Lepisosteus oculatus: one gene and its partners. The protein of the gene in region 4 purifies or fractionates together with the protein of the main gene of each other region. This does not show direct contact. Links are inferred from orthologs where the notes say so. Each region holds a gene or a part of one and is shown on either strand. Other genes may lie near its edges. The genes, in order: vps13c, mlf2, ift122 and dnajc7.

Evidence for each region.
Region 1: the proteins of dnajc7 (region 4) and vps13c purify together in Homo sapiens (co-immunoprecipitation; 4 studies listed by BioGRID and IntAct, counting the BioPlex papers as one, with this or other methods). This does not show direct contact. The link is inferred for Lepisosteus oculatus from reciprocal best matches to the Homo sapiens genes DNAJC7 and VPS13C.
Region 2: the proteins of dnajc7 (region 4) and mlf2 purify together in Homo sapiens (affinity purification with mass spectrometry; 3 studies listed by BioGRID and IntAct, with this or other methods). This does not show direct contact. The link is inferred for Lepisosteus oculatus from reciprocal best matches to the Homo sapiens genes DNAJC7 and MLF2.
Region 3: the proteins of dnajc7 (region 4) and ift122 purify together in Homo sapiens (co-immunoprecipitation; 3 studies listed by BioGRID and IntAct, counting the BioPlex papers as one, with this or other methods). This does not show direct contact. The link is inferred for Lepisosteus oculatus from reciprocal best matches to the Homo sapiens genes DNAJC7 and IFT122.

Annotation. Positions count from the first base shown.
Region 1 is NC_090700.1:57,745,074-57,752,969, reverse strand, and holds the start of vps13c (intermembrane lipid transfer protein VPS13C), read right to left. Parts: upstream 3,018-7,896; 5' UTR 2,841-3,017; coding exon 2,741-2,840; intron 1-2,740. Other genes in the region: c2cd4a (C2 calcium-dependent domain-containing protein 4A), read right to left, coding at 4,879-6,219. UniProt on the Homo sapiens protein: Mediates the transfer of lipids between membranes at organelle contact sites. Necessary for proper mitochondrial function and maintenance of mitochondrial transmembrane potential.
Region 2 is NC_090718.1:3,191,921-3,199,617, reverse strand, and holds the start of mlf2 (myeloid leukemia factor 2), read right to left. Parts: upstream 3,010-7,697; 5' UTR 2,991-3,009; intron 2,911-2,990; exon of another isoform or gene 2,691-2,910; intron 2,294-2,690; 5' UTR 2,273-2,293; coding exon 2,229-2,272; intron 1-2,228.
Region 3 is NC_090699.1:55,798,467-55,805,595, reverse strand, and holds the start of ift122 (intraflagellar transport protein 122 homolog), read left to right. Parts: upstream 1-4,107; 5' UTR 4,108-4,233; coding exon 4,234-4,292; intron 4,293-4,711; exon of another isoform or gene 4,712-4,844; coding exon of another isoform or gene 4,845-4,852; intron 4,853-5,049; coding exon 5,050-5,116; intron 5,117-5,354; coding exon 5,355-5,439; intron 5,440-5,568; coding exon 5,569-5,647; intron 5,648-6,722; coding exon 6,723-6,799; intron 6,800-7,050; coding exon 7,051-7,117; intron 7,118-7,129. Other genes in the region: mbd4 (methyl-CpG-binding domain protein 4), read right to left, coding at 1-30, 1,032-1,181, 1,325-1,459, 1,544-1,615, 1,837-2,807, 3,234-3,443, 3,838-3,899. UniProt on the Homo sapiens protein: As a component of the IFT complex A (IFT-A), a complex required for retrograde ciliary transport and entry into cilia of G protein-coupled receptors (GPCRs), it is required in ciliogenesis and ciliary protein trafficking.
Region 4 is NC_090723.1:5,515,944-5,522,823, reverse strand, and holds the start of dnajc7 (dnaJ homolog subfamily C member 7), read right to left. Parts: upstream 3,004-6,880; 5' UTR 2,967-3,003; coding exon 2,896-2,966; intron 1-2,895. Other genes in the region: nkiras2 (NF-kappa-B inhibitor-interacting Ras-like protein 2), read left to right, coding at 5,366-5,459, 6,332-6,573. UniProt on the Homo sapiens protein: Acts as a co-chaperone regulating the molecular chaperones HSP70 and HSP90 in folding of steroid receptors, such as the glucocorticoid receptor and the progesterone receptor.

The DNA of each region.
Region 1 (7,896 bases), on a different chromosome or scaffold from region 4:
CCAACCTATTCTGATAATATTAACTCAGAAATCAAACATTGAGACTGGTATTTTGTTATCCCAAGGGATGAAGCTAATCATACAATCACAAAACCTTTCTGCACGCTATTTAAAAATGACAATAACATTATGCATGTGTCCAATCAACTTCTGAAATAAACCTTTAAAGACTGTTGCATCTTCATTGTGCACAGATGAATAAAACCTTGTACTAGAGGAATAAATATTAACTAACAAGTTAATAGTTGCTTAATTAATGAGGACATTTTAATCTGTGGGCAATCACTATTAGACAATGACAAGGTTAGAATCATGTTAATTTGTAAAGAAAATTGTCCACACAGGTTTCTGGTGTCCATGGTTATTGCTAATCACTGTGAAGGTAGAGAATATAACAAGCTTAATAAAAGCAAAAGACAAGACTTCTCTGAGTTCACCAAGTGCTTTACTTTAAGCAACACTAATAGGGATATTTTGTTTAACTTTTTAGACCAAAACAAAACTGTGGCATTAGCAATTAGAAGATAATGGGTGGGCAGAACCCAAGTTAATGATTTAGACCCGATTTCAACCATGCACAGATTGTGAAAGCAACACAAATAATGATGAGGTAAGAGCTGTTTCAAAAGACATGACCAGTGGAGACCTGGGTGAATTTGTGGTAGATTTTTCTTTCTTCTTTCTTGTTTTACAGAATTGTCTTCAATAATTTAAACCAATTTACAGAATCAGAAAAGGGAATGAAACACATCTTCCCTAAGAAAAGTCAATGACATACTAGACAACATTCTTACTCTTAATGTACTGTACTGTAGCTCTGTCAATGTACAGCATAACAAGACAAACCAGTCTAGTTTATCTAGGGATTTATGCAATACACTGTAGACGTTCTTCCTCTAAAAGCTCCACTGTGCAACATTCATTTTCACTACTGTAGGAGTTAATTAAAAGTACAAGAATTCAGTAGTAGAATAAAGAAAACAGTATACTGTTATACTGTGGTTGACTGAGTCATTTCATTACTGAAGTGGAGAAAGAAGAATGAAGATACTCAGTACCTGAAGTTAACATTTTTGCCAACAAAATGACTGTTTCAATGGGATTCTTGTAGGAGGTTAATAACTGAGGAGAAATAGCTAGCAACCAACATTTTAAAACTGGCCTCCATGACCGGACCTGAAAATGTTTAAAGAATATCTGTATAATACAATCCATGTGAAGGAAAAGAAGAATAATGATTGTTTTACCACTGTCTAGTTATACGTCATTATCCATGACACTGAAACACCCATGAACATCAGCAATGTCAGGTGTGTCTCTGCACATTAATGTGCTTGAAACGGAGTTACTGTCTCACAGGGAAACGGGTCACAATTTTGGGCACCTTTTTATTGTGGCAGAACATGGCAAAAGGCAATTTTAGAAACACGTGCTTGGCTTCCAAGAATTAAGCTCCTCCCATGAAACTACTCTACTCAGGCCTTTCTAAAGCCTTGAGAAACAAATGCAACACTAGAGTCCATCCCCAAACATATATTATTCAACTGAATGCCATTCTATTGTATTAGACAAAGAATAACAGATGACAAATATTTTATGGACAATGTCACAAAATACTGTCTTGATAGATATTTCAGACACTACAACATCGTATGAATGGTCTTAAAATTTTGCCTTTTGCCATCTTTTATATACTGTACATTAAGTACATCGATATATCCAAACTTCTTTAGGAAAAAGCAGAAAAACTAAGTCTAGAAATACTGCCCAGTTATCCACCTGGTTATATTGGCTGCTATTAAATCCTATTTGCAGGATTAAACTCTCAAACACATATCATATTGACATCATCTATCATTACGTTTTCTGCACAAAAATAATTCATTAGAAGCTTTGTCTTCATCTCAAACTGGTTTTGTCACATAAGTGAGAGCAAAAAAGAAAATGCTGTCGGCTCCAAAAGAACTGTGGACAATTCCACTCTTCAAAAATAAGTCAAGACAAGATCACTTGCCCTGGAGCAGTTAGGGTTAAGGGCCTTGCTCAGGATTCCTCTGCTGGCCACAGGATTTGAACTGGCAAGCTTCCAGCCACAGGCACAGCCTCTTAGCCACAGTGCCACCACTCCACCCAAGTTATACACCATAAAATGAAGTAAAATGAATTATATTTTAATTAGAAATAAGAGGTTTCTTAATATTTGGATGCCAAAAAACGCAGACCGCCCAGGATATTTCAGTTTCTCATTTAGCATTATTTATAAACAAGTAGAGAAGAGTATTATCAAATCTCACTTGTGGCTTATCTCTCACATGCTAAAGACTCCTTCAGAGGCGTTGATTCTGATTGAGAGGCGACGTTAGCATTCATCAAGACACTGAAAAACACAAACCTTGCTGGGCTCGTACACTGTGTACAGCACCCCCCCTCCCACACACAGCAGTGTAAACATTAATTATGGACGTGTACACAGCTGGGTAACCGTATACTGTACACCTCAAATGCGACAATCAACACATCTGTACTGCGTTGAATAAATCAACATACTGCAAACTTAAGACTTAGGCATTTTCGCTCGTCATGTGATGTGTTTTGTAATACACTCTTGTTCGCTCAGTTGGCTACAACTGTCGAGACTGACATGTTTTGGCCCTGAACCATGAGAGTTACTTTCCTGATTCCGTCTTAATAGCAATAGCTACAAAGCAGTGAAAACGTTAACATGCACGCAGAATCCTACCTCCCCAAATGCCAATCTTCAGCTGAGACTTGTCAAGATTTTCCACATAGTCGCCTATAAACCTGTTTAATAAATCGCTGACCAGAGACTCAAACACCATGGTTAAACAGCGGTGCACCCTGCCTCCGTCTTAAAGAAGCAGCTGTCTCGATGCAGTGTGAGCAGCACAATCCCGTGATGCCTGGCTCATCCCTTTTGTAGTACAAGTGCTAAACCGAAAGGGTAGGATTTTCTGTAATCAACTGGTTTTGCCTGAGCTGTACAGTATACTGGCGGCGGACACCGTCTGCGGATGCAGTCAATCAGTGTGACCGCAGCGGTATTACGGTAATTCAGCCTGCGGGTGCAGTGGTCACCCTGACCTTTGAACCGACTGTCATCGAGCTGTTTGCAAAGGTTTGACAAGTTAAATGAAAACGATTAAGAGTTTTAAGCTAATACATTTATGGCGCTTATAGTCACTGCAATAAGATATCTTAGTGTGAACCCAGGTAAATGAGAAGTAATTAATGACTTAGAAATATTTTAATATATGATGTAATAATATATATTTAAGCAATTAACAGCGAAAGAGCTGGCACTTATCTAAAATTAATCTTTTATCAGATGTGGTTGTTTCGTATATTCAATTCAAGTGTTATGCTGTGATACTTTATGTTCTGTAAATATGTAACCTTGGAAAGAATATCAGTTTAAGAAGAGGAAAATATAACATCCTATACGCTTGATTTCCTGCTTACTTCTTACAATCTTTAAATGTGTGCACTTTATGTTACTCGTCGAAACTACTAAAGTTTGTTAGTAGTTTGTTGAGAAGGCATAGCCGTGTAAATTAATATATACAGTACACCTGAAGACAGTTCTCACTGTAGCTGACTGAATATTCATGCACACCTTTCAGTTGTTCAACGTGTTTACGGCTCTTTTAAAACCGCTGAAGGCTTGCAGAGCTGTTTCTTGGTATACTGTTTCAAAGACATGATCACTTCCATACCGAAAACTGGAACGTGTTTTATAAAAGTGCACCCTCCTGTAGTTCCTGTTCAGTTCGGACACTGGATTTTTAACATCATTAGTGTAATTTTTGCTTCTGCTGAATGCTAATATTTTTACTATGAATACTATTTATTTTAGTTAAAATAATTTGTGGATAGAACTTTTATTTTATTTAGACGGAATTCCAACACACCTACAGGTAACACGTTTACGTTGTTCCAGTGGGAACTTCTACACTACGATCTCCCGATTTTCCATCTCATTGTTTACAGATTGTAAAGGCGACTCTTGATAATCTCTTTCTGATCCTGATGTTAAAATGCTCGTACAGTACTAGTAGAAGAGTGCCTAATGATTCATATCAAATCACTTTCAAAATGTATCAGATTTAAATTAGTATTCAACTAAAACTGGAATACAAGAATTAGGAATATTACTATTCATATATAAAGATTCAAAATTCTGAACACAGTAAGTGTATTCCTCACATCACAATAAAAATACATCACATTTACCTATTTTGTTTACTATTCTACATAACCTTTTTAATTTGTTAAAGAGCTTTTGAAAGCACTGGGATATGTATATCTGGAATTATACCTGTAGGATTTACAGCTGTTACTTGAATGAAACTAAAGCAGTTTCAGTACTTCTTTAAGAAGGAACCCCCTAAATGACTTGCTCTTTACAGAAGAAAGAAATAGATTTGTTTTTACAATTAGTAAATGAATATATGAATCAAGCTTGCCTGCAATAAAGGAGACCTGGATCTCTGAGGGTGCTGATGTTTTCTTTGACAAGGATCAACTTGTGCTGTAGTCAGGTATAATACACAATAGCCTTGTTTAGACTGTATTTTTCTATTTGTAGGTTTACTGTATGTGGCTCACAAACTGTTTAAAGGACAAGGACATAAAGATGAATACAGACATTTATCGTGAAAGTATTTTGTTACTTTGTTTCTAATACAGTAGCTGTTCTGTATCGGTATGAGGAAAAAAGAACCACCCAACACCTGAGCATGTTTTTCAAAATTGCCATTTAATATCAAACCAGCATTTAGCAAAGTATAAAAGTATAAATAAATAACACTTTTTGCTGTATATACATATAAATAGTAAAAAAGGTGTCCTGTAGAATCATTATGCAGGTGAAATGCTGCTCAGAGGGAGCTCACAGTCTCCCAAAACATAATCTCTTTTCATACTTGACATTTTGTTAACAACTTTAAACCTGAGAGACCTGTAAGACAGCTCTTCTTCAGAAATTCCATCAAAGAAAAAGTCCTCGTTGAAAATAGGGTTCCGGCTTTTCCGGATCACAGTGCTGCGCTGCTTCTGGATTTTTCCCGGCAGAAGAGAGATGCTGACACTGCAGTTGATGCTTTTGGGATCCACGGACAAGGCATACAGTCCTTCTGCACTGATCAAGCGCACACGGAGCCTCTGATTCTCTGGGCTATACTCAGCAGAAAGTCTTAGGGTCCCATTTTTCCCCAGGGGTATGAGGCTTTCTTTCATGAATCTATCCCTGTAGTACACTAGGTCCATTGGGAAAATTGCAGGGGGGGTCAAGCCATAGGGACAGGGCATGGGGTCTATCAAGCCCTCAGATGCTCTTCTCAAGATATTTGGGCTGTTGTCTGTTGAACTCCCCTCGTCTGTTGACAAAGAATTGTTCCTGCACACTGTTGATTTCTTCACAGTCCTGGACAGCAGCTTCTCCTGGCTCAGTGCCTTGAACAGAGAGGATTTAGGGGGAGACCTGTTTAACATGGGAGAGCTGAAAGGGGAGGACTCTGTGGATGAAGCAGTGTCACTGTCCAATGTGCCCTGCCTGTTCAAGCTGAAACTTCTGGGGGAGAGCCTGGAAGTTATGGCGTTCAGGCTGAAGGTGGACGAGGAGATTTTTGAGTACGTGCTGGACCTGCCTCTGGGAAGTACCACTGGGATCCCACAGGAGCCGGGATCGTTGTGGAACAAAGACTCTTTTCTCCTGGTGTGTGGGCTTTCAAGCAAGGTGCAAAACCCATAGGAGGTCTGGGCTTTTGCAAGATGGGGCAAGGACAGTGCAGCTTGGGACTGTGGATCAGCATTGGTGCTCTCTTCGTCACTGTATCCATAGTCAAAGGGCATCTCGTCCACACTTTCCACCTGGATCACATGAGTGTTGACCAGTTCTCGGTGCTGGGGAACGTTTCCAGGACTGCCCTTTTCCGAAGAGGAAATCTTAAGGCTGGGAGTGGGTTTGTTCAGTTCAGCAGTCTTGAGGTCCTGCTGGGAGGGGAATTTCGGCGGTATGCAGAACTCGGGGATTCTGTCGGGGGTGATGATATTAGGGCACAGGGAGATCTTTTTGTTTTTCGCAGACGACATCTTATCTCCTCCAAACATGATGTCTCCGATTTTGAAACTGTATTCCGTTATGGGGAGAGACAGGCTTGTTCTTTCCACAGACACGCGGATTTTGTCCATCACCCACATGGGCAAAAGATCAGAGAGAAGAAGCGCACAAATCTGTAAAAGCAGAAGACAACTTGTGAGCATAAGTGCTGATATATAGCTGGCATTCTGACGTGTGTCATATATGAAATTATACAGCTGTCTTGCTGATGTGTAAAAAAAGAATTCACATTATTACAAAAATCTATGATAACATTAAACAATGAATCGGTTTATGTATAAACATAACTTTATGAGCAAAAACCAAGTCTTAAGCTTACCTTCAGAGATTTCAGAAATTCAGCAATGCGTCTTTAAAGACGGGTTTGCTGAAGAATTACCATAAATGGTCCAGTGTTGTCAGAGAGCTTCTCAGCTGCAGGTCTTCCCCCACTTCAGGCTTGCTCAGGTTTCTGGTGTGCTGAGCGCTGCGGGCTGTATAAATAGGGCTGTGATGTCTGGAGCGGCTCCAATCCCATTCAAGCGCACCTCCCATGTGGAAGGAAGGAGCACGCTCTGGAAGGACCCTCCCCCTTTTCCTAGTAGACTGTAGTCATGGAAATGGTGAAACCACAACAGTACTCTTCACGGGCATGAGCATGCCTCATGAAAAAAAAAGGTTAAACAGATAAGCGATGGAGAAGGTAAACTGCTCGTAACAGAATAATCAAAAAGTTTTTCGATACAATGAGAACATTTAATTCGCTTATTTGTTTTTCCATTTTCGTGAATGTGCACACCGGAGTGAGATTATCTGGGTCAAAATGTAAGTGATGTATTAATTCCTCCAGCAGCAGGTTTATAAGAACTAACAGGTACTGGAGGTATATGTACTGTAAGTAAGGTTACAAACATGGGGTGACTATCTGGTTCATCTAGCTCTTTTGATACAGTAGTTCATTCATCAGAGGATCTCATCCAGTCTTTGCTTCCTAGAATCCCGAGTTCTGCCTTCAACAACGTGGCTAGAATAACTTTGTAAAGGTCTTTCAGGATTTTGAATTCTTGGATCAGGGCATGTCATCCAAGTAGTCAAAATCCTATACAGTATGTTTAATGTTGCTGGCTCAGTCATAACTCTCTCATGTTGTGAGCTGCATGACAGTACTGTCAAAGGCCTGCACATGTACCAGCAGGTGAAGACTTTTAATGAGTATCCACAGTAATATATTCTGTTGATCGAGTAGCCTGAACTGTCATTTAAAAAACATCAAATTTTTAAAGTACTTGCCTGCTTTTGTGTGCATCTATGCATGTGTTTTTGTTTGAAGTAAAAACCATGAAGTGTAAAATTACCAAAAAACTTCTACTATTTATGTAGAAATTAGCATTTATGTAACATTCTACTGTGTTATGCACTGTAAGGACAAATTACTGCCTGCAAGTCACTTTGAATATCTACAAAAATATATACTGTATAATGTATGAAATGTGCAACTGTTTTGCATTTATAAATCAGTTCATTTCTATTAATGATCATGCAAAACAATCCTTAATGTACAGTATGCAGTTAAAATGACTTTTCTCTAAATTATTCTTCAGTAGTTGACTCCATAACTTATTTTAATCAATTCTAACAGCTCCTCTGATCCCCAATATGTGTGGTTCGTTCCTAAGCTCCTGACAAGGTATGAGTCATACCTGCCTACAATAGAAAGATGTTATTCAGCCTCATGTCCCATCCAGCTCCAGTCATCTTTCTCATCTCTACTCCATCTT
Region 2 (7,697 bases), on a different chromosome or scaffold from region 4:
GGTGCCTTCGACATGCTACACATGCTATTTCTGCCGTTTCTCCGGCAGATCTACTCAGGATGACTGTTCTTCAAGCAAGTGAGCTCTGCTAGAGCAGGACATACCGTTTACAGCTCCTGCCTACAACCTCTGCCAGGCTTACTCCTCAAAGCATTTGGGAGCAGTGACTTCCAGACTGTTCAGGCTCGAGCAGAAGCCACCCTGGTCACCTTCCTGAGGCCTCAGGCCCTTCATGAGCCATAATGGCACACGACAAAGTCAACATTGGGTACGCTCTCCCAGTGCGCTAACATATCCCCCCCCCCCAGTGTTGACACACAGACCCACTGAATCTCTGGGAGGCAACACCACTCCTGCTGTACAGATGCAGCCCTGCTGGCTCAGGCTGCACAGGTGCGGTCGTCTCTGAACTCAGGTCAGCCACACGCAAGACCTCCACCTTTTCTTCAAGCGGTGCCGCTGTAGTCTCACCACTACAGTGACTCGCATTGTCATTCCGTCAATCTCTTTCACCTTCATTTTTGCCTTAATTGGAAAATCACTGAAGAAAGATACAAGATGTGAAAAGGGGGTGAACCGATTTCTTTCCGCACAAAGACCTCTTGTAACACAAGACATCCCATGCTTAGGCGCCCTTGAGTTATGGCAGGGATGGGAGTTAATCGAGATGAAATTCCAAGTGCAAGATAAAGACCCCCTAACTAAGGAAAGATAAAACGTCTTGAAAAGGTCTTGGGAATGTCCAAACACAGGTGCCCAGCCCCATTACCATGGTAACAATTGCGTCCGAAGCAGCTGAAATTTGCTATATAAACTGGACATTTTGTACATATATTTTAAACTATACTTTGGTTTTATTGTTCCTTGGATGCAATAAACTCAGTTACTTAAACGTCATCACGGGTTCCAGAACTTATTTGTCTGTTACTACATCACCAACACTAAACACATGTTTTTCCCCCATCATACAGGACTCGATGATATTTTATACTATGGTACAGTACTCACTATTCAAAATCTGAATAACCTTAATTGGCTAATGAGGAAGAAGGAGATGCACGCTTAACACTTCAAGCCACTCTTTAATGTCTGTAGGGAATCTGGCCTGAAAAGATTGAGCTCACAGGAGCACAAATCCATCTCTAGATGTACAAAGAAAGAGAAAAATTGATAGAGAAATGCAAAACTGCATCATATTCCCAAGTCAGTAATTTAAAAAAAGCTATAGAGTAAAATAGTACAGCCTTGTAAAATAAAAGCCCTGGGATGCTTCAGAGAGTCTGGTTATAATTCAAGCTAATTAATCTTAAAGTCCCTACATCTCAACAAAGCCTAGAGCCAATCACACTGTCATCAGCGTTACTGAATGAACAATGATAACTCCAATAAAAACTGATCAATCTCAAAAGGCAGACAGCGTTCATTCTGGCACAGGGCAAAATAGTACAGCCTGGAAAGCCTCAGACTGCTCTATTAATGTCAATGCAAGTCAGATTATGGTATAAATTCATAACAAATCCAACACACTGTAAAGTCAGGCCAGTACAGCCTGCAGTCACAGATGTCAGTGCAAGCGAGGTGCCCAGTTATGATTTGAGATGACTAACCAAACTCAGTAAATCACACTTCAGGCTCTGTCAATGCGAGTCTGGTAATCTCAGGTGATAACTAAATTGGGCTCACGGTATCATCAGTCCAGCACAGCATCGAGTGAACAAGTGTACTCTCAGTGTCAACAGGCATAAGGGTATGAATTCAGGTAACTAATCAAACTTAGTGAAGACAGTCCAGTCAGTCACGTCCATGTCAATGAAAGTCACTTAACTGATCAAGTCCAGTCATCGGGGCTCAGCGTTTGTCTGATAACGTTATTAACCACCCACTGTTGTATTAGAAACATAGTGATCCAAACGTGCAATTGACTTGAACAACGATGGAATTATACGTCTAAAAGTAGAACCAACTACAGCGGGCGGAGGTCAGTAAAGAAAAAAAAACACGTCTTTTTAGGTCCATACCTATAGGCATGGCATGGTTAAAATTTAAAAACCGCTGTGTAGACGAGAACCATTCGATACAACAGGCCAGCAGCCACAGAACAGAAACGAAACAAACCGGCTTTGATCAAGTCCGCTGGAAAAAAAAAAAAGAAGACCAACAACGAACGATTTCATAACAGGAGCAACTACGGTTATACAACCAGAATACGACAGTTGACATATACTCACATCACAAAAGGGTTTTCGTCCACATCGCTCAAATACCGGAACATCTTTTTGTGTCGTGTCGAGCGCTGTGAAGATAAATTACACTGGGGTCTCCCACCAGGGATAAGCCTGCAAGCCCGTTTCTATACCGTATTTATATAAAAAAAAATGGTAGCTCAATGGACGCTATCTAAGTCGATACATACGGCTGTTTTGAATCACAAACCGAAATATTTCGCTGTTTTGCACAAAGGAACCGATTCCGAAACCCCTCTTTGTGCTTTAACTGCCGGTTGCATGCACTGAACGCTTCTGTTAGATACGGATATCTGTGTGTATATATATATAATCCTGATGGGAAGTGGCTTTAAATTTTTCGTCGCGTCTGGTGAAAATCCCACAAGCAAAACAACATTCTCGTCGGCGGAAGTGGACTTCACAAAAGAAATCTTCCTCCGTCTCCGGGAACGAGCTACACTACACCTTATTGCACCTGCTCCCCTGGCGATTCGCACGGTCAGCCTTCCCTAAAACGACACCTCCAGTCCCCCTGTTATTGAAAACGACGCCCGGCGTCCCAAGCAAGTCTGTCCCCCCCCCTAAAAAACGGGGATTTAAACCCGACACAACACAAACCGAGGACCTGTTTCGCTAACCCGAAAATACCGGACGTGACGTCTGGCTGACCGGGTTGACAAAAACTGACTACAGCAATGCCGGAGGGAGGAAGGGGGGGTTAAATACACTGGGGTGGAGCGCATCATTTTTTGGGGTTTTGCTTGCCTCTTGCTGCTCCTGGCCGCACTCGAGAGGTCTGCGGGAGGGTATATGTGTCGATGTCTGGGGGTGGGGGGGGAGTTTTGTCTGGGAGAATCGTTTTCTTTAATTACTAAATTGATGGCAGCTCCAGGCCTCAACTCAGCTGGGCCGAATGAAAGGGGGGCGTCTGACGTCACTGCGGCGCACCAATAGTCGCGATCAATATGGTCACAGCTGCTCAAGAAAACTTCGGAGACCGACCGTTTTGCATTCTTTGCAGCTAGCTTTTTGGTTTGTTTGGGTTTTTTTTTTCAGGACCCTATTAATTAGCTTTATAAAGCTGTAAGAGAACCGTCACTAAACCAAATGTTAATGTTCTCCCGGAGGTTACGTCGGTTTTCCTTTCGGTCTGTGAAATTAGCAGGTCACGTCAGGAATGATTGTACCTTGGGGATTTGTTGAATGTCTAAATGATTTCTTTTTGCTCGTTTGTCAATTTCTATTGAGTGGGGGCGTTGTAATTGATCTTTATATATATATATAATATTGCACTGTAGTGTTTCCTGGCGTGAAGGGCGCAACGTGACAGTAATCCGGTGTTGTGTTGTTGATTGCACGTCACGCACGCACGCACGCACGTCTTTGAAATGTTGATGGAGAACGATAACTGGAATACACCCAAAAAGGCTTTGTCTAAGCAGATCCAGAGCTGGGGTTCCCAAATCTAGGGACCCTAGGATCTGGGGGCCACCACACACCTGCTGGGTTTTCTTTCAGGAGCACTCCGTTAAATAATTGACCTTTTAATACACCTGATACTAAATTTAAATTTAATTTGAACCCCTTGCTTCCAGCTCCTACACGTCTAGGGGGGTTGCCTTTTAACTGGAGGGTTTCTTAAGTCACACAAAAGTTGGAGATCTTAAGCATACATGTAAAAATCTTGCAAAGGTTCCAACCAAATGATGTGTTGCGTGTCTTTGGACTGTGGGAGGAAACCCACCAAGTCCCCTGGAATCGAACCCAGGGCCCTAGTCGTATGAGGCAGCAGTTCTAACCCCTACAACACAGTGCCACCCCAGGTTGAGAGCTTTTGGTTTTAGAAAGATGAAACATTTAGGACTTAACAGTCTGTGCAGGAACTAAGTTTAGAGCAGTATGCTAACCTGTGACTGACACAAAGCTGGAATCTGCTCTGACTGCATAGCCACCTAGACCCCCACTAGTCATAGTGTAGACTCTTAACTTCCATTTCTCTGTCCTGAACTACCTCTTCTATTTCAGCTTCTTGTTTCAGATCCCAAAAGCAGTCCCTTCGAGTGACTAGGTTTATATCAAGTGAGCTCAGAGTTTCCACTGATCAGGATAAAAATCATTCAATTTCCTACTGTATAATGAATCGTGAAAGTTTTCGAGGACTTGTGCCCAACTCATTCTGATGAAGGATTATTTCTGTAACTGAACTGAGATGTAGTTGGGTTTTTTTACAACTCACTGATACTGATGTTCCATGTCGTTTAAATCAAACAGCTATACATCTAACTGGATTGCGGCCGCCAGCCCCAACTGTGTGGAAAATATGCACTATACATGGGTTAAAGTAGCCATGAACCGAATGGTTAATCAAATGCAAGCCTTGTTTCTGGCTAATTCTTTGTGCTCTGCTTCCTTCTTGCCCCGCTATAAATGAGCTGTGTAAATTTATAAATCACATTCAAACTTGAAAGGAATAAAGTCTAGTGGCTGAATTAAAGAACAACCACCATCTGAATAGCGGCAGAACTTGTTAGCACTTTTGACATAACAAAACCAATCATAGTATTAGTCTTGGTAGCAGATCCAGCTCCGTAATGAGATGAATACCTTCCGTTCAGATTTATATTCATCAAACCCAGACCTGCCAGTTAAATGGTTGCCATTGGTCTGCCGCTGAAGTGGACGAAAAGGAATGTTTGGCTTTTGCCAAGCTGAAAGTATCGATCAGTTACCTAAGCGAGTGAATACGACCTTGCCAGTTACCTGTAAGAAGTGAAAAATATGTGGGTATGTTTTTTAGTCTTTTTTTCATTATTTTGCACTTGTCCCTCTTTTACACTTCCTGTTCATCTTATGTTCAGTCTTTACCTAATGTACCAAGACCTCTTGAAAGGTTCCTACCAATACATCAGCTGTTTGTTAGGGTTTAAAGTGGAAAGGGACACAGTACAAATGCCAAGGAGCATTTCTTAAATTGGGGAGTCAGGGTGAGATGTGAGGGTGATCCCATCAATCAACTGCATTGATCGTCATCTGCCGACGAGCATCATGTTAATAATTGGAAATGATCATTCGTTCAGTAATGTTAAATTACTCCAGGCAGCTCGCTTCTTTATTTGGACAGTAAGGTTGTGTCACAATGGAGTAATTTAATAGCAATGCGTATCAAGTTAGCAGCGTTTCCGCTCAGTTCCTCTAACTAGTGCCAAGTTCTCTGCTGCGTCAAATCCGTGCCTGTCCGAACTGGCCATTTTAACGCCGCCTCTCCAAAAGTACCCAATTTCTGTGTTTCAGAATCAAGATTATTATTTTTTTATTTGCCATACAACAAGCATATTGGAATGCTTACTCGTTCAGTGGGACCCAGTAACAGGAGAGAGAGAGAAAAAAATAGGCACAAATGACAAACAGACATTGACAATAAATTCAGACAACAGACGTTATAATACAGCCAAGACAGAACATAGCACAAACAGTGCAGTTCCTTAAAGTGCAGGTGCTAATATGTGTGGCTGCTAATTTGAGCTGTTTATGATGCGGACTGCTTGGGGGAAGAAACTGTTTTTGAATCTAGTTGTCAGTGTTCTGATATTGCGATACCTCCTACCGGAACCCAGGGGTGAAAACAGATCGTGGCCAGGGTGAATTGGGTCCCGGAGTATAGTTCGAGCCCGGTTGTGGCACTGGTCGAGATATATCCGGTTGATGGAGGGTAGCTCAGTCCCAGTGATTTTCTGCGCGGACCTTACAACCCTCTGTGTGGCTTTTCTGTCCTGTACTGTGGCTCGACCATACCACAACGTAATACCTCCGGTCAGGAGACTCTCAATCGTATTACGGTACAAAATCGGTGAGTGTTGTCTTGCTCAGCCCCCACTTCCTTAAACAATCAAGCATCCTTATGGGGAGTTACCTTACTAAGCAATAACGCTTTTAGTATGGAAAAGGTTAAAAACCAGTCGGAGGAGAATTACTGGTACGGCTGTGTGCGTGAGGGTGGCTCTCGGTATTTAGGGGAGACCCGAGCGCCTCCACAGGCACACACGCACGGGTAGGGGCGGGGCGAGGCCGGGGAGTGCGGAGCGCGGAGCGCGGAGCTCGGAGCGATCGCCATGGGAACGCCCTCTCGTGGCGCGTCGACTTCGAGAACCCGGATGTGACCAACGCCTAATATTGGAGCAGGAAAGCGGGTGAGTTTGGGGGGACATTTTTGATGTATTTATCTATATATTAAAAAAAAAAAAAAGAACAACAAACTTTCATCTAAGGAGATATGAAGAGCTGCATTTGACAAGCCGCGTTCACCTGGGTAGAAAGTCACCGGTCTTAATTTCGGCCGCGATTGTTATATTCGCCAGTGCTGGGATACCTTTCAGTTGCAGGACTGGTTGGTATCGAAAGGCTGCTAAAAGTTTGACGTTCAGTGATTCAGCGCTCGATGATGTCGTTCGAGTTTATAACGTGCACAGTTAGCATTGGGTTTGAGCGTGCAACGACTGTAGGGTAACCGCGGCGCCTGCATCGTCTAATTCTGAACCAAACCTGTGATAATGGCATCTCAGCTCGGCTAACACGTTAACACGGGCTGTTAACTCGGTTCGGACTCTGATCCATCTTAAAAACTCAACCGAGATTTTAACTGCAGTGAGTAGGACGTTTTGCTTGACGGTACTGGTGTTTTTAGCAGTAACTCCACTTTCACTACTGTTGTCGCTGGAGGTCTGAAGTTAGGGGAAGTGCTGGTACATCTCGACCTGGGAGTGGGCCGAGTTGAAATGTCTCTTTCTCCACTTGTGGTGGTGGTTTTTCTTTTTTAGTATTGACTCTTATTCTTGAGACATTTCTTGCTCCGTATTTCCGCACTGCCGGCGCATTGGGCCGGGCCGGGGCGCGCGCGCGCGCGCCTGCGCGCTCCCCCTCCTCGCGGAAGTGGTCACTCGAGAAGTTGGGTTGTGACGGCAACCGGCAGGGGCGCGAGCGCGACCTCGGCTTGGTTCCGCCCGCAGGGCCAGAGAGCAGCCGGAACCGGCCTGCGGCGGCGACCGCGACCCCAGCGGCTCTGTGAGGGGCCAGGCCGGGCTGGTCCTACCGGCGGTGCAGTCACTAGCCTCCATAGTGACGGGGACCCCGCGCTACGGGTTCCTGCCTGCGCGGCAGAGGACATGAGAAGGCTTACAAACAGGACACTATCCGACCTGTCTAGCCCGTTTTGTCCTTGGTAACGACTGGATATGAGCCTTTCGCCCAGTCCAGACTTGAAGCGGAGCCAGGATATTGGCTTCCGCAGCTTGGCTCTGTTCCCTGCTCCCGCATCCCTTGTGTGTGGAAAGAAAGCGCCTCCCCTCCCCCTGTTCCCTCTTTTAAATGCATTTCCACGGAGTTTCCCCTTTCACTTCGGCATTTTGAACAAGTCCGCTTTGACGACATCGTCGATTCCCCGTGAAGATACTCCATAATTAAGCCGTGCACGCACTC
Region 3 (7,129 bases), on a different chromosome or scaffold from region 4:
GGTACTTCCAGTGTTTTGTTAAGTATTCATCTGCAATGGCAAGAATCTGAAATGTAAGCCTTTCGCACCTGTACAGAGTTCAAAGGCTTTACGAGAGCAAAGGTTTGTTCTCCTACAAGAGTCTGCTATCTAAGCAGGTGCAAAACCCCAGTCGGTCACATTGGTGCCAGTAGAGAACAGGATCAAAATGAGGTCACACACAAAACTGGAGAGAACTCTTTCAAGTATCATCAGAGACTTATACTGTGCTCTTTTTACCTTGTGTGTCTGCTGAAAAGTGAAAATTTCACATTGGTTTTCTAATACACAATGTACAGTAGATGGAGGGCTGATTATAAAATCATTTTGACTATGACTGATTGTGATGGGCAGGGTGAAATTAGATAAGCGTCATTATTACATCCTTTGTTAACCACAACATACAGTGGTTGTTATCCATAGTCTGTGGATAATAAGCAGAAACTCCCTATCACCCAATTATGACAGGGGTGGTGTGGTGTGTCTGTGGCTAAGGAAGTTGGGGTATGCGAAAATACAAATTCCTAATACAAGAAATTGCATATGGCCAATAAAGTGTTTTATCTTATCACAAAGTGAGCTTAGTGCACTACACTCCAAATACAACATACTTACTTCTGCAAATCGTATGATTACACTGATGAAAAGAAAAACATGGAAAAATAATCCTCAACATAATCAGAATATTATGAACATTCAGTTTTATGTAGTTCAGGACTATGGTGAAGAAATCCATCCTTACATCTGTTTTCTAACCGGTTCTTCTAGTTCAAAGTACCAGCACAGAAAGAGCTTACCCTGGCAAGCAACAGGCACAAGGCAGGGTACACCCTGGATGGGATGCCACCCCACCACAGGGCAGATAGGCACCAACACACACACGCATACAACTCACACCTAGGACTTGTTGAAGAAATCACTGTGACACACAAATTGCTTAACATACTGTAGCTACAGTATAGTGAGAAATACATAATTGCTTCTTTTTTGGTTTAAAACATTGTATCACTCACCTGAAAACCTCACAATTGTTTTGGCTCTGAGTTCATTGAGGCCCAGAGGTTTCAGCAGTTCAGCCATTTCTTTCCAGTCGCTGACACGGGCCACCTCAGGAGACGGGTAACGCCCAAAGAACTCCCACAGCACAGGGATTGCCATCTTACCTAAAAGAAAGAGTCTCTTTACTTTCAACTGACAGAAAGACAGAACTGAACCGCGCCCCACATCCGAACCTAGTATTTTAGGTTAGCTCTCTGTGAAGGGAATTGTCTCATTGTCCTGTTCTGTTTGAAGCCACAACTCTTACCGCTGGTTCTATTGAGGAAAATGGTGGCTATCAGAAGCTTCCAGGGATCATGGAAAAGAGTCTCCTGTACCAAGGCAAAAGGAGAGCGAGGCGGAGTCCATTTCTTAAAGGCCTTGCGTCTGGGTGGACTTGGAGCTAAGAAAAATAAAGTGAACATGTTTCATTTGGGAGAGTTGTCCTTTTTGTTCCTGGTAAAAGTTGAAAATGATGTTTCCTTACCTTCTCTGGCTAATTTTCCAGTGAAGTACTGGCTTGTTTTTCTTTTCTCTGACAGCATTTTTATGCCACAACCTGAAGGTAAACAAAACAGTACCAGATTCATTGATGGACTTGGACAATATTTCAATGTTTCTATCTAAGGTTTTCTTAAGCCTTCTCCTTTTGTAACTGAATATACTGTCTATTTTCATTGCAAAACATATCAGGCCACGATTCCTATTCGGTTTGGAGAAACCCCTCAATGTTCCCCAGAACGTTAAGAGCTATACTCAAAGATTTAACTTTATGCTTACTGCTTTGCTGCTGTTTCACTGATGTAAATGTCCCCGAGTCCCCCGGAGGAAGTGAATCACCATCTTCTAGCGCAGACTCAGTTTCAGGTCCGACAACAGCTTGCTGTGTCTCTGCAGCGTTCTTAGACACAGGCTGTAAGGCACTTTTCCCTGGGGCAGAGGCCTCAGGCTGGTCACACACCACTTCTCCCGACTCATTTTCACCTTCTGGGGAAAGTGCGAGCTCTGCTCCTTTATCCGCTTCACTTATCTGGGTCAGTCTGAGAAGCTTATCCTTTAAAAGTCCCTTTTCAGTCTCTTTTTGATCTCCAGTGTGGTTTGCAATTTGATTTTCTCCTCTTTCACCGCTCACAGTCAGTGCGTTTACGTCATTTACCTCACATTCCTGTGCCAGTCTGAGAAGCTTGTCTTTTAAAAGCCCCCCTTGAGTCTCTTTTTGGTCTCCAGTGTGGCGTTGACTTTGCCCTTCTTCCATTTCACTGCCCGGAGTCAGTTTATTTCCCCGTTTGCCCACTGCTCTTTCAGCACCGGCTTTTCTAACCCTACTGCTGGGATCCTTCCTCTGTTTCTGTCCTCTCTGTGGTCCTGCGGGAGTGAGCTTTGTCAGTGAGTGCCGACGTTTAGCCCTGGCTCTGCAACTTGTGCTTTCAGATTCTGAAGACTTGGATTTCTCAGCACAAGGCGCAGAAAAGACCCCGTCAGTGGCAGCATCATGTCCAGACAGCTCTTCTGACACACTGCTGGGTGACAAGTGTTCCTCTTCGGCTGTAATCTTAATGTCAGTTGTGCTGTCCAAGACGGTTTCTGAAAGTTGGAGAGCTTTCTTCTTTTTTGTCCTCTGAGGTTTTGTTAACTGTTTGTCCTTCCCAGGTACAGAGAAATCAAAATCTGCACCCTTGAGACAGAGTTCTTTGTTATTCTGAAGGTAGACATGGAGTGAAGCTCTTGATCTGAATTTCCCTCCCTGTGGACTGAGTACACCAAGTGTTAATTCCTTTGGTTCAAAACAAAATACGTCTCATATATATATATATTGTTCTCAGATCTGACTAACAGTTACAAAAACAACTGTACAAATGTATTTTTAAAAGCTTGTTTTTCTATATGGTAATGCATAGGGACCATTCTCTCAGACATGCAGACTGCAATAAACATGAGTAACAACATCTATGTACAGCAACAAGAAAATAGAACCTGAAGTGTTGTGCCTCTTTTTAACACAGGTTTGAGCATTGATGTAGATATAATTACTTTATAAACATTTGTAAAAACATTTTTTAGAGGATGTTATTGACCAATCATAATTGTTCATTTTCAAATGCCCTTGTGCTTATCTAAAATGGGGAAGATGTATTTGGGATCATATAGACACTTGTACTATATTTATAACCCAGTACCTGATGATATATACGTCTACTTTCCCTGCCGTTTTTCCAGATCGCCTCTGTTTCACCATTTTAACCCAGCCTGGCGGGACTCCGAGACAGCAGCAGGTCTCCATACACGAGTCGGGGCTGGGACTCTGCTTTGGTGCAGCTTTCTCTTGCTGGTCCTCATCTGACAAAGAGGGCTCTTCACACGCTATTGCTTCTGTGGTAGCAGTTTCACTAGGTTTGGAAACAAAACACACAAGTTTCCAAAATGTCTAGTTACAAAAATGTTGTCTATGAGACTAGGATAACCCCGTGCAATACTATAAATCCCTGTAACATACGGTATATAGTACCACAATTAGCTATTTAGTCACGAAACCTGCCTTTAAAATTAATACACATGCATTTCATAGCATGTCAACCAAAAATAAAATATATACAAAACGTTTTTACGAATATAGAAAATGTACTGAAAATGTGTTCTGCTTATGTTAAATTATAATGGCCATAGATAAGAAAAGCATAGGTACAATATAAGCAAACAATTAAACTCTGACTAACAGTATATATCATTAAAATAACTGGACTAATACAGCTTTTAGATCACTTAGCTGTTTTGCTTTCTTACCTGACAGTAGTTCTGCTATTAAGATCATCCATCCGTAAACGCGGTAACTCAAATTCATGCATAAACTGAATCCGTAAACGTAAAAACTAACACACAGTCATGCTGATTTAGATCAGTGTTCCATCGTTAAAATGCTACCGCTCGACGTATTAGAATTAAAAAGATGGAATTACAATAACTCTGCTTTGGAATAAAACCGTGATGCTTGACACTTTCCTGTATACTTCTCCTGTCGCACATGCGCAGACCGCTCAGCAAGCTACATGCAGTGTGCGCATGCCCAGTGTGACTCCGAGATGTAAACAGTGTGATTGCGGAAAGAAGTGGGTTCTCTACATTGTTAGTTTGCTTTGAGGAAGGAAAGTGTAGAGCAGCTCTTGCTAAAACAGAACCACGATGAGAGCCGTACCGACATGGATAGATAAAGTGCATGATCGGGATAAAGTAGAGCAATGGTAAGAAGGAGACGTTTTTAACCACGTATGGTCGCTTAGCGGCATCTGTAGGCCTGTTGCTAACACCGTTGGCTGTCGATAGCAACCATGGTTGCCAATGTAAACTGTGTGAGGAAAAATGTGTCACTTTAACATATGGTAAAAATATTAAACAACTACGTTGTTTTTGGAACTTTGTCATTATAAAATATTGAGTCATTTAAAGTCGTCGTGTTTATTTGCTTTCAGTTCATCCTAGGCATATGGCTTATTTTTAGCCAGTTACCATACTAAGCACTCAATTACTCTTGCATCTGATCGAATGAACGTGTGTATTTATTTAAATGTTTAAATTGTTGTGATTGTTTAAATTGCAATAACAATTGTGATTGTTTATACCCTGAGCTGACACATAACATGCATTCAAAGATAAATACTGTACACTGTGCAGGTTTCGCTGATCATATTTTTAAAATCATTGCTTTTCACTTGATTTTTTTCCCACTTACAGTAATAAAATATGACCAAATCAATCGCTTTCCCAAACTGAGGAACAATTTATCAAACGGACAGATGACATTGTTACGTTTCATTGAGTTTTTTGTCCTTCTTTTGACATTATGTAGAAAGACTCAAATATGTATGGTGATTGTGTTATGAAACATCCCACAAGGAGTTCTATCATAAACTAATTTAAAAAGTATACAACTATAGCTATAGTAGTATCACGAAGCAATAGTGCATTATTGTAACTATAAATCATTCTTCCCCTAAACAGTATTTACGACCTTGCGTTCAAGCCAGATGGGAGTCAACTTATAGTTGCTGCTGGAAATCGAGTTTTGGTACGTGCTTTTGGAAGTTGTGATGTATTTTGTGTAAAGATATATATATATATTATTTAAATACTCTTATACGAATATAGCATTTTTCGAAGACATATTTCGAAGAAATACTATGCCTTCGTATTTTTAACGTTTTACACTTTCAGCACCTTGAGTTTATTTTTCTGATTTTTTTTTAAATCTCAGGCAACTGTGGAATGTTCTTTGTGGAAATTAATTATTTTGTCTTGTGTTTTAGGTTTATGACACAGCTGATGGAACACTTATCCAGCCTCTAAAGGGGCACAAAGACACAGTATACTGTGTTGCCTATGCCAAAGATGGTCAGTTTTTAAAGCCTGCTTTGAAAAAAATGTTACTGTATATATGCTCTTCCCATACTAAATAAGTATCTTACATATACACAATAAGGTGTAGTAGCTTGACAAAATAACAATATATTTTTTTTCCAGGGAAGCGTTTTGCTTCAGGTTCAGCTGACAAAAGTATCATCATTTGGACTTCTAAGCTGGAGGGAATATTGAAGTATACGTAAGTAAAACATTTTAAAGTCCTCCTGAATTTGTTTTTTTATCTGCACCTTTACACTTGTTGATGTAATAATTTTACTTTTGAGAAGTAACAATCGTGACACAAAAAGCCAAATAAATGACCTTTTATGAAATTTCTTGTCTTATGAATTCCTGTGTACAATGGGCTCTTCAGTCAACTTTAAGGAATTATTTAATAATACCATTTAGAGTTCTCAACTGGGTTTTACAAGGGTTTAGCATGGGTGGTGATCTGGCCATTCCTAGTGAGGTCATTAATCCAGCCTCCATAGGAATGGGCAATAGTATGAATACAGGAATGTAAAGGAAGGGTTAGTAAGGAGAGGAAGAGGAAGAGACATCATTATCATCATGAGAAGCTTGTGCTGGGAGAGAGTGCGTCTTTCAAATTAGACTTGAAATCAGGTGTAGTCCAGGTAATTTTAATCCAGAAAGAGCAGCAGATTCTGAGCCATATTATTTAGGTGGTTTGTTGTTTTACTTGTTCAAGAAAATTGTTGTTTCATATATTGTGCAATCCTCAGTCTTAAACTGTCTTTTGTATTTTACTGATTTTAGAATAGGAAAATTGGCTCATCGAACTGTGAGCATCTGTTTAGAGAGGGCGATTTAGTGCTGGTTAGAATCCCTTTCGTTTAAAATGCAGGTTCTTTCTTTTTGGCCTGTTAAGGATAAAATTATTTGATTTTCTGTGCCTATATAAGGCAGAGCTCTGGAGCTTGCAGACATGTAAATATCCATTCATAGTAAAAACATTGTATGCTGTGCAATCTTGTGTGTTGTATAGTTCTGTTATTTGTTAGAAAATAAATTGTGTAAATTTGGGCCCAATTTCTATTCTTTTATGAGGATATGCCAGAGAATAGGTGCTGTGGAATGCTTGATAATCCCAGATTTAATTAGGTAAAATTACTGATCTTTAAAATTTACTTGTATAGCATCCTAGTACCAAGACCTGATTAATATTTGATTGTTATACTGAATTGATAACCTATTTTATCATTTTAAAATCATAGGTTGTAACAATTTGACAATTTGTTTTGTTTTTTAAATAGCCACAATGACTCCATCCAGTGCGTTTCATATAATCCAGTTACACATCAGCTGGCCTCCTGTTCGTCCAGTGATTTTGGTGAGTTGTTTTGTTAAGATATGTTTGTGTTAGTATAACCTTAGGGAAATAATTCCGGTAATCATTAGTGATCTCTCCGTACTTAAAACACAGATGCTTATCATTGACAGTTTGATAACTACAGCAGCTTCTTTACTGACTATGGAAAACAATAATATATTATGTGGAGTATTGATTTGATAAAACAGTGGTATTTTTGTAGAAAGTTGAGTAAACATTAACATGAATACTATATTGTATTACCTATTTAGGTTTGTGGTCTCCAGAACAAAAATCTGTCTCCAAACACAAAGTCAGCAATAAAATCACATGTTGTGGGTAAGTTATAAA
Region 4 (6,880 bases):
TATCAATAGTCACTCTACCCTCCATCCATAACTGTTTTTTTTCCTTCTTCCAGGCCACCAGTCCCTTGGTGCACTGTATCAATTGAAATATAGGTCACCTCTCTGGAACAAACATGCACTGTATTGGCACTGTACTGTGTCACGAGCTAGCCTGAGGAAGCTCTGAGATTACTGCTGAAAATTAAACGCACTCTCCTTCATCATCTAGAGGCGCAGCATCATTACAGAAAGAACCGAGACCTCGCTCTAAAGCGATCCAGAACTATTTATCTCTAAACTGCCCTGCGCAACATCAAAGCAAACCTGGGCAAGTATTATGCAGCTCAGACAGGCCAAGGTCAAATTATATAAGATTTCTAAGGACAGTACTGTGAAATGCAAGTGAGAGCATAATTTTCAAGCATAGATACTGAACCGCATATCACAATTTACAGGAGCTATTTGTAGTGCAATGGTGCTAGAGGTCCATATTGAAGTGCTCCTCTTAAGCCATGCTGTGCAGCTATATTTACACCATGTGAAGTGTCGGATGGCTGGTTAACTTTACACAGTAATGAATATAGATATGAATCGAAATGAATAGATAATTCTGCATGAAGAGTCAAAAGATACAGGCTCGTTGTACCAACACTCAAGTGCTCAAGCACTACACCAAATTCCAAACCACTGCCTTTTAAAAAAAAATAAAGGCAAACAGTGGCATTCTATGACAGTTACAATAGAGAAACACTGTATAAATCACACACTACAGTGGCTCACACTGGCTTGAAGCCTGGAACAAAAAATGCCCCATTTGTGACACCACTATGTCACTGCAAAGCTTTCTGAAACGTTTCTCCAAATGGAGAGGCAATATATGAAACACTAACATCCCTGATCTGATAACGAATCTGTCGCTTTTGTCACAGCATCTCTTCACTGAGAAGATCTCTTTGCATCATGGAGTCTGGAACTGACACCTCCTTCTCTACCCCAAGTCTTCCTCCAGCTTGTCCATTTTTCAGTACAGCAGCAAGACCTCACCAAACAAAAGAAACAAACCCTGGAAGCCCTAAAAACAAAGGATGACCCTGAGCCAGATCTATGGTTTCCGAAGGCCACAAGTGAGACACTAAATTCCACTACTGATTGATTCTGTTCCACAGCGATTACTGAGTAAAGAAGATATGATCGGATTCCCGTCTTGAACTGTAATTGATGTTTTTCCATCAGGCTTTTCCTGTTGGCACAATTCCTATGCCTATGTCACACTAAATACAAGTATGAGCACAACAACAAAACGAGACAGAAGAATCTATTACGTTCTGTCAGAGTGGGACGGTGCCAGTCATTGCCAAGGCATGTATCTATACCATATAAGAGGAATAATGCACAGAAACACATAGTGACTTAATACATCTTCCTGCCATAATATAGCATATCACAGGGAAAGAGCAGAGTGCGTTTCTTCAGGTACTTCGATTCACTCAGTGCTGGGTAGTATGATTGGGCAAGGACTCTGAAGCGCACCTTCGCCACCCACAGTGAGGATCCTGGGTTTGCTTTTCGTACCCGCAATGTAAAAACTACTTAAACGATTTAAGCGCAGGATCGGTGTTCCGTGCTTTTTTGGAGTGACGCTGTATTCCCGGGTTGATTCGTGTGCTGCAGTCAATCTGACGTCCGCCTGGAGCCAGCGGAAATAAGGTCCACTTAAAATCGGTTTCGGTTTTGTTTCAGCTGTCAGGCTTTCGATTTTAGGCTGGTGAGAGCCGACCTCTACAGACTCCCCACCCCCATCTCATCATTCCCGGAGCTGTCCCTCGCCCGCTGCGCTGACCAGCCGGACAACCACGGCGTGCAGCTACTGGGACAGGACGGCGGTGTCCCATTGATACAGTTCCCGAACTAGAAAAAAGTCATAATGTATTGACTGTATGGGAGTTTATAAAGGAAGAGTCTGCAGATCCCAAGTCCCGTTGCCGGAAATTCCTTTCAATGACTCCTCTACAACAAATACTCGACGGATGCCACCAATAAAAACATGCCAATCTACAAACTGGAATATCGCGATTCCAGTTGCTACCGTGTTACCTAAAATGAAGACAGCACATGGAAGAGATCATTCTACTCGGGGACCCGACTTTCCGGGTTCAAACAAAGTGAATTACTTCTCCGCAGAAGGAAGAGGCACCGCTGATACACAAACGACAGCACAACTACAAGCAGGGCGCACAAACAACACTGTTGTCTCACTCGGTCGCTCTGTGCTGTCGCTCTTATTAACTGTCAAGACAGCCGCGCTTGCCAGAGGAGTTTATTTCATGTGTATTTCCAGCTACACGTCTAAAGAAACGTATTTGAGGCCTTCAACACCTCCAGGTAATTTCACTCAGATATTGTGGGAGACGACAGAACGAATTACACAAAGTGACCCATTTCCCCCTTTTTATAACGAAACGAGACCGGCTAGCACTGGAAAATCCAATACTTGCCAAAGACGTATACAACAACCTGACCTAAAACTATCCGATTTATTTAATAACAAATGATTCGTTTTATCAAGACGACTATGTAACGCCACTCAAAACACCTTCGCGGAAATGTCGGGTTTCCTTTGTTGTTTTATTCAAATAATTGTTTACATCTCGGACTGCGTAGACAACGCCGTTGTTTTTATTCTTGTGTAAAAGACGGCCGCTGAAAGCAGATTTCCAACCCCGGCGGCTGACCGGGTCTCGCTGAAGAGACACCGGGACGGATCCCCATGCCCGCGTCCTAGGGTGTAGGCCTCAAGCAGTCCGGCAAAACTTGGCTCAAGAACCACATACGAGCCTTATCTGTTAATGTACGGTCTATCCCCAAGAGCGTCACGGCGCTAGCGACTACCGACTGAAATAAATATCCACGTTGTACCTCGCCAGCTCCTCTTCGTTCATTATTTGCGGCTCTGGATCCATGATCACATCGCAGTCAACAGCGTCCATGTTACTGCCGGGGAAGAGAAGACAGACACTTCCGGGAACCGTAGAAATCACCGAGCGCTAGAGCGGCCTGCGGCAAAGACCCATTTCCTCTCCTTTTTGGGAGGGAGAGAGTCGAGCCCGCACGGCCGCTACACGCCGACGTGAAAAGGCGCAAACAGCGCCTCCAGTGGCGGCGCCAGGCTCCAACATCCCTTCAGATTCAGACTTGATTATCCGCCGGTGGAGCTGTGTTCGGAGTCCAACACAACAATACAGCATAACAGCCGTCACCAACCGACACCAGATCAGGGCAAACATGACTAAAACTCTATGAAAACCATGACGAAAATAAAATGTGAAATTCCGTAGGGTAGGAACGGTTTCCAGGCGACGCTTAAGAACAGTGGTTAGCATTGGTGCCTGGGTTCAGTTCCTGTGGAGTTTGTATGTTCTCCCCTGTTCGTGTAGGTTTCCTCTGGGTGCTCCAGTTTCCCCCCACAGGCCACAGAAGTACTGGCAGACTTGTTGGCTTCTGGGGAAATTGGCCCTGGTGTGAGCGAGTATCTGTGTGTCTCTTGTGATGGACTTGTGTCCCGTCCAGGGTGACCCTGCCTTGTACCTGTTGTGTAGTAATAATAATAATAATAATAATAATAATAATAATAATAATAATTACACTTATATAGCACTTTTCTGGACACTCCACTCAAAGCGCTTTACAGGTAATGGGGATCGCCTCCACCCCCACCAGTGTGCAGCCCCACCTGGATGATGCGACGGCAGCCATAGTGCGCCAGAACGCTCCCCACACACCAGCTCTCAGTGGGGAGGAGAGCAGAGCGATGAAGCCAGTTCAGAGATGGGGATTATTAGGAGGCTATGACTGGTAAGGGCCAATGAGAAGTTTGGCCAGTACGCTGGGGTTACACCCCTACTCTTTTCGAGAAACGCCCTGGGATTTTTAATGACCACAGAAAGTCAGGACCTTGATTTGACATCTCATCTGATGGATGGCAGCTTTTTTCAGTATAGTGTCCCCATCACTATACTGGGGCTTTAGGACCCACACAGACCTCAGGGTGAGCGCCCCCTGCTGGCCCCACTAACACCTCTTCCAGCAGCAGCCTTAGTTTTTCCCAGGAGTCTCCCATCCAGGTACTGACCAGGCTCACACCTGCTGAGCTTCAGTGGGCTGCCAGTTGTGAGTTGCTGGGTGACACGGCTGCTGGTTATTATTATTATTATTATTATTATTATTGAAGCTTATATATAAAAATGATTGGATTTGTTATAACCTGCGCACAATCACAAATTCCGCTAGAAATCGTAACGCCCTCCGGTCGACAGGGGTCGCTCTTGGTTACGATCCCAGGTTGCTCCTGTAACCAGCCCATCGATTCGCAGCCTGTGGGTTGGGTTAGTGCCTACGCAAATTGTAAACAGGAAATCGCCGCGGTTGTCTGCCTCTGCACTTTAACAGTACAGTATTTTCAATTATTTTAATATAGTTTTGCATTTTTGTTCCTTTTTAAAATGTGTTTTTAAACGAGTGTAAGCGCGCTTTTTTCCCCGTCGCGGTGTTTTATAGCTTGGCCGTGGTTATTTTACATCACTTTTTGTGAAATGATGAAATTTTACCCTGAAATGATGTTTCAGTTAAGATGTAATAAATGCAACCTCTTTTAAACTTAATTGCACTGGTTTATGCAGTACTATTTAATCTCTGGGAATATCAAGAGAAATTTGCTGGGGAGCGTTTTGACTCTTACTTTTATGTTGTAAAAGTCAGGAAGATGTAATAAAGAGAACTGCTTGCCTGCAAAACTGTATTTTTCAACGGCGCCTGAAATACATCCATCTGAAATAACGCAGTGTGCAGTTCTGTATTGTAGCTCCTCGTCTAGTTGCTCTTATTAAATGGACGATAGCTGTTCCGTGCATTCGCTGTCAGAAAGCCACTTATTCCTGGTTTAGGAATGGAGAATAAAGTACAGCCACTCCGCTTTACACAGTGGTGCACCGTGTTCCTGGTGTAATGTAAGATTGTGGTGGAAGCCGGCAGTGTTACATCTCTTTTCCGAGACTGGCGGCAGCTTTTCAAAATTCAACAGGTTGGGCCCGTCTCGTTATAGCAGTATCGTCTTGAAAACGAAAAGAAATGTGACCGTTTCTACGTAGATCGAGGCTGGGAGACATGCTGAAGACGGTGCTGAAAGCTAGCGCAGTGCTCGTGTATTTGACATTTACAATAACCGCGTGTAAAAGGTCTTAAATAGAGACAAAAAGATCAATGTTTACCGCTAATGCAGATGGCTAATCTAGAACGAGCAAGTCATACCGATCCGAAAAAAAGGAGAGGATGGGGCTTTGTTGAAATTTTTTTTCTTGTTTTGTTGATATCGTGTAGACGCCAGCGGACTATGGGAAAGAGCTGTAAGGTCGTGGTGTGCGGACTGGCCAGCGTCGGTAAAACCGCTGTGCTGGAACATGTGCTGTACGCCAACCATGTCGTCGGTAAGTAACCGCGACCTGGTCTGTCGGGGATTTTCACAAATTCTGTCTCGGGACCTTGAATCAAGTTTTCAAAACCCCCCAGGGAATTAACAAAGTCAGCGCAGTGGGCTTGTTCAAAATCGAGAGCTCAAACCGGAGGACACAGGTGAAAACTCCGGGGAAGAGCATTTAAAACCAAGAACAGGAGACAATTTTTACACGATGCGTTGTGAGAGTATTAAGACTCGCAGTAGTTTTGTTTAAGCTAATCCTCTGGATCCTTTCTGGAAAACGGAAGAGATCCTTGTGCCTAGTAGTAATGCAGCTAGATGAGCCAAGTGGTCTCCTATGATTAGTAAACATTTTTATATTCTTATATTCTTTATTATCAAACTTCAGGTTCACTGTAATGACTCATTCTATTGTTGCAATTCCCAAATAATTATTTTCTTGAACCTCAAAAACATATTTTCTATATATTTCTGTGCCCTGTTCAAAGAAAAGACATTTCAATGTGATTTTTGTTTTCATTTTCATTGCGATTACCTGTAACTGTAATGATCATATCATCAACTGACTGTAACCAAAATCTCACCACTGGAGTCACATAACTGGCAGAGCAATGCCAGGGGTAGCTCTTGTGACTCTTTGTGATGTCACAGAGAGATGCCTCTCCTCCCCTCCAGACCAGCCCTGCCGTCAGGCATGGTGGCTCTTGTAGAGTGGTCAGCTCGTCCGCCTTTCCTCATCCCTCCCTGTGCACAGTAGAGGAATCTTTGCAGTGAGTGGCGATACACGGAAACAGCTGTAGGTTTCAGACTGGCTGGGTGTAGCTAAAAACCATAATAATAATTGCGACGGCAATGAAAGAACCACTCTGTCTGTCCGTGCAGGCTCCGAGCCCATGGAGACTCTTGAAGATATTTACATCGGGTCCATTGAGACGGACCGCGGGGTCCGGGAGCAGGTGCGCTTCTACGACACCCGCGGGCTGAGGGAGGGCATGGAGTTTCCTCGCCACTACTACACCTTTGCCGATGGCTTTGTGCTGGTGTACAGCATCGACAGCAAGGAGTCCTTCCGACGCGTGGAGGCCCTCAAGAAGGACATTGACAGGCACAGGGACAAGAAGGAGGTATGACCCTCACCTGTCCCTTTGTATGTGATGGATGCAGTAGCTTTGCCCTTGCATAGGGAGCCAGTTGGTATGCTCATGCTTTCAGTTGTATGTCTTCAAGATAAACAGGAAAAAAAAAACCACAAAGCAGAGAACACAGCAGAAACAAAGGTTTATTTAAGGTTTTTAATAGGAAACACTTACAGGCCAAGGGTTTGAGTTTCTGGAACACAAACCTCTGCCTTGTTGGTGAAGACAGTACTCTGGCTTTCTTCAAGTCACAGCTGGATAAGATCCTTGGGTCAGTCAACGATTTAGGCCTCCT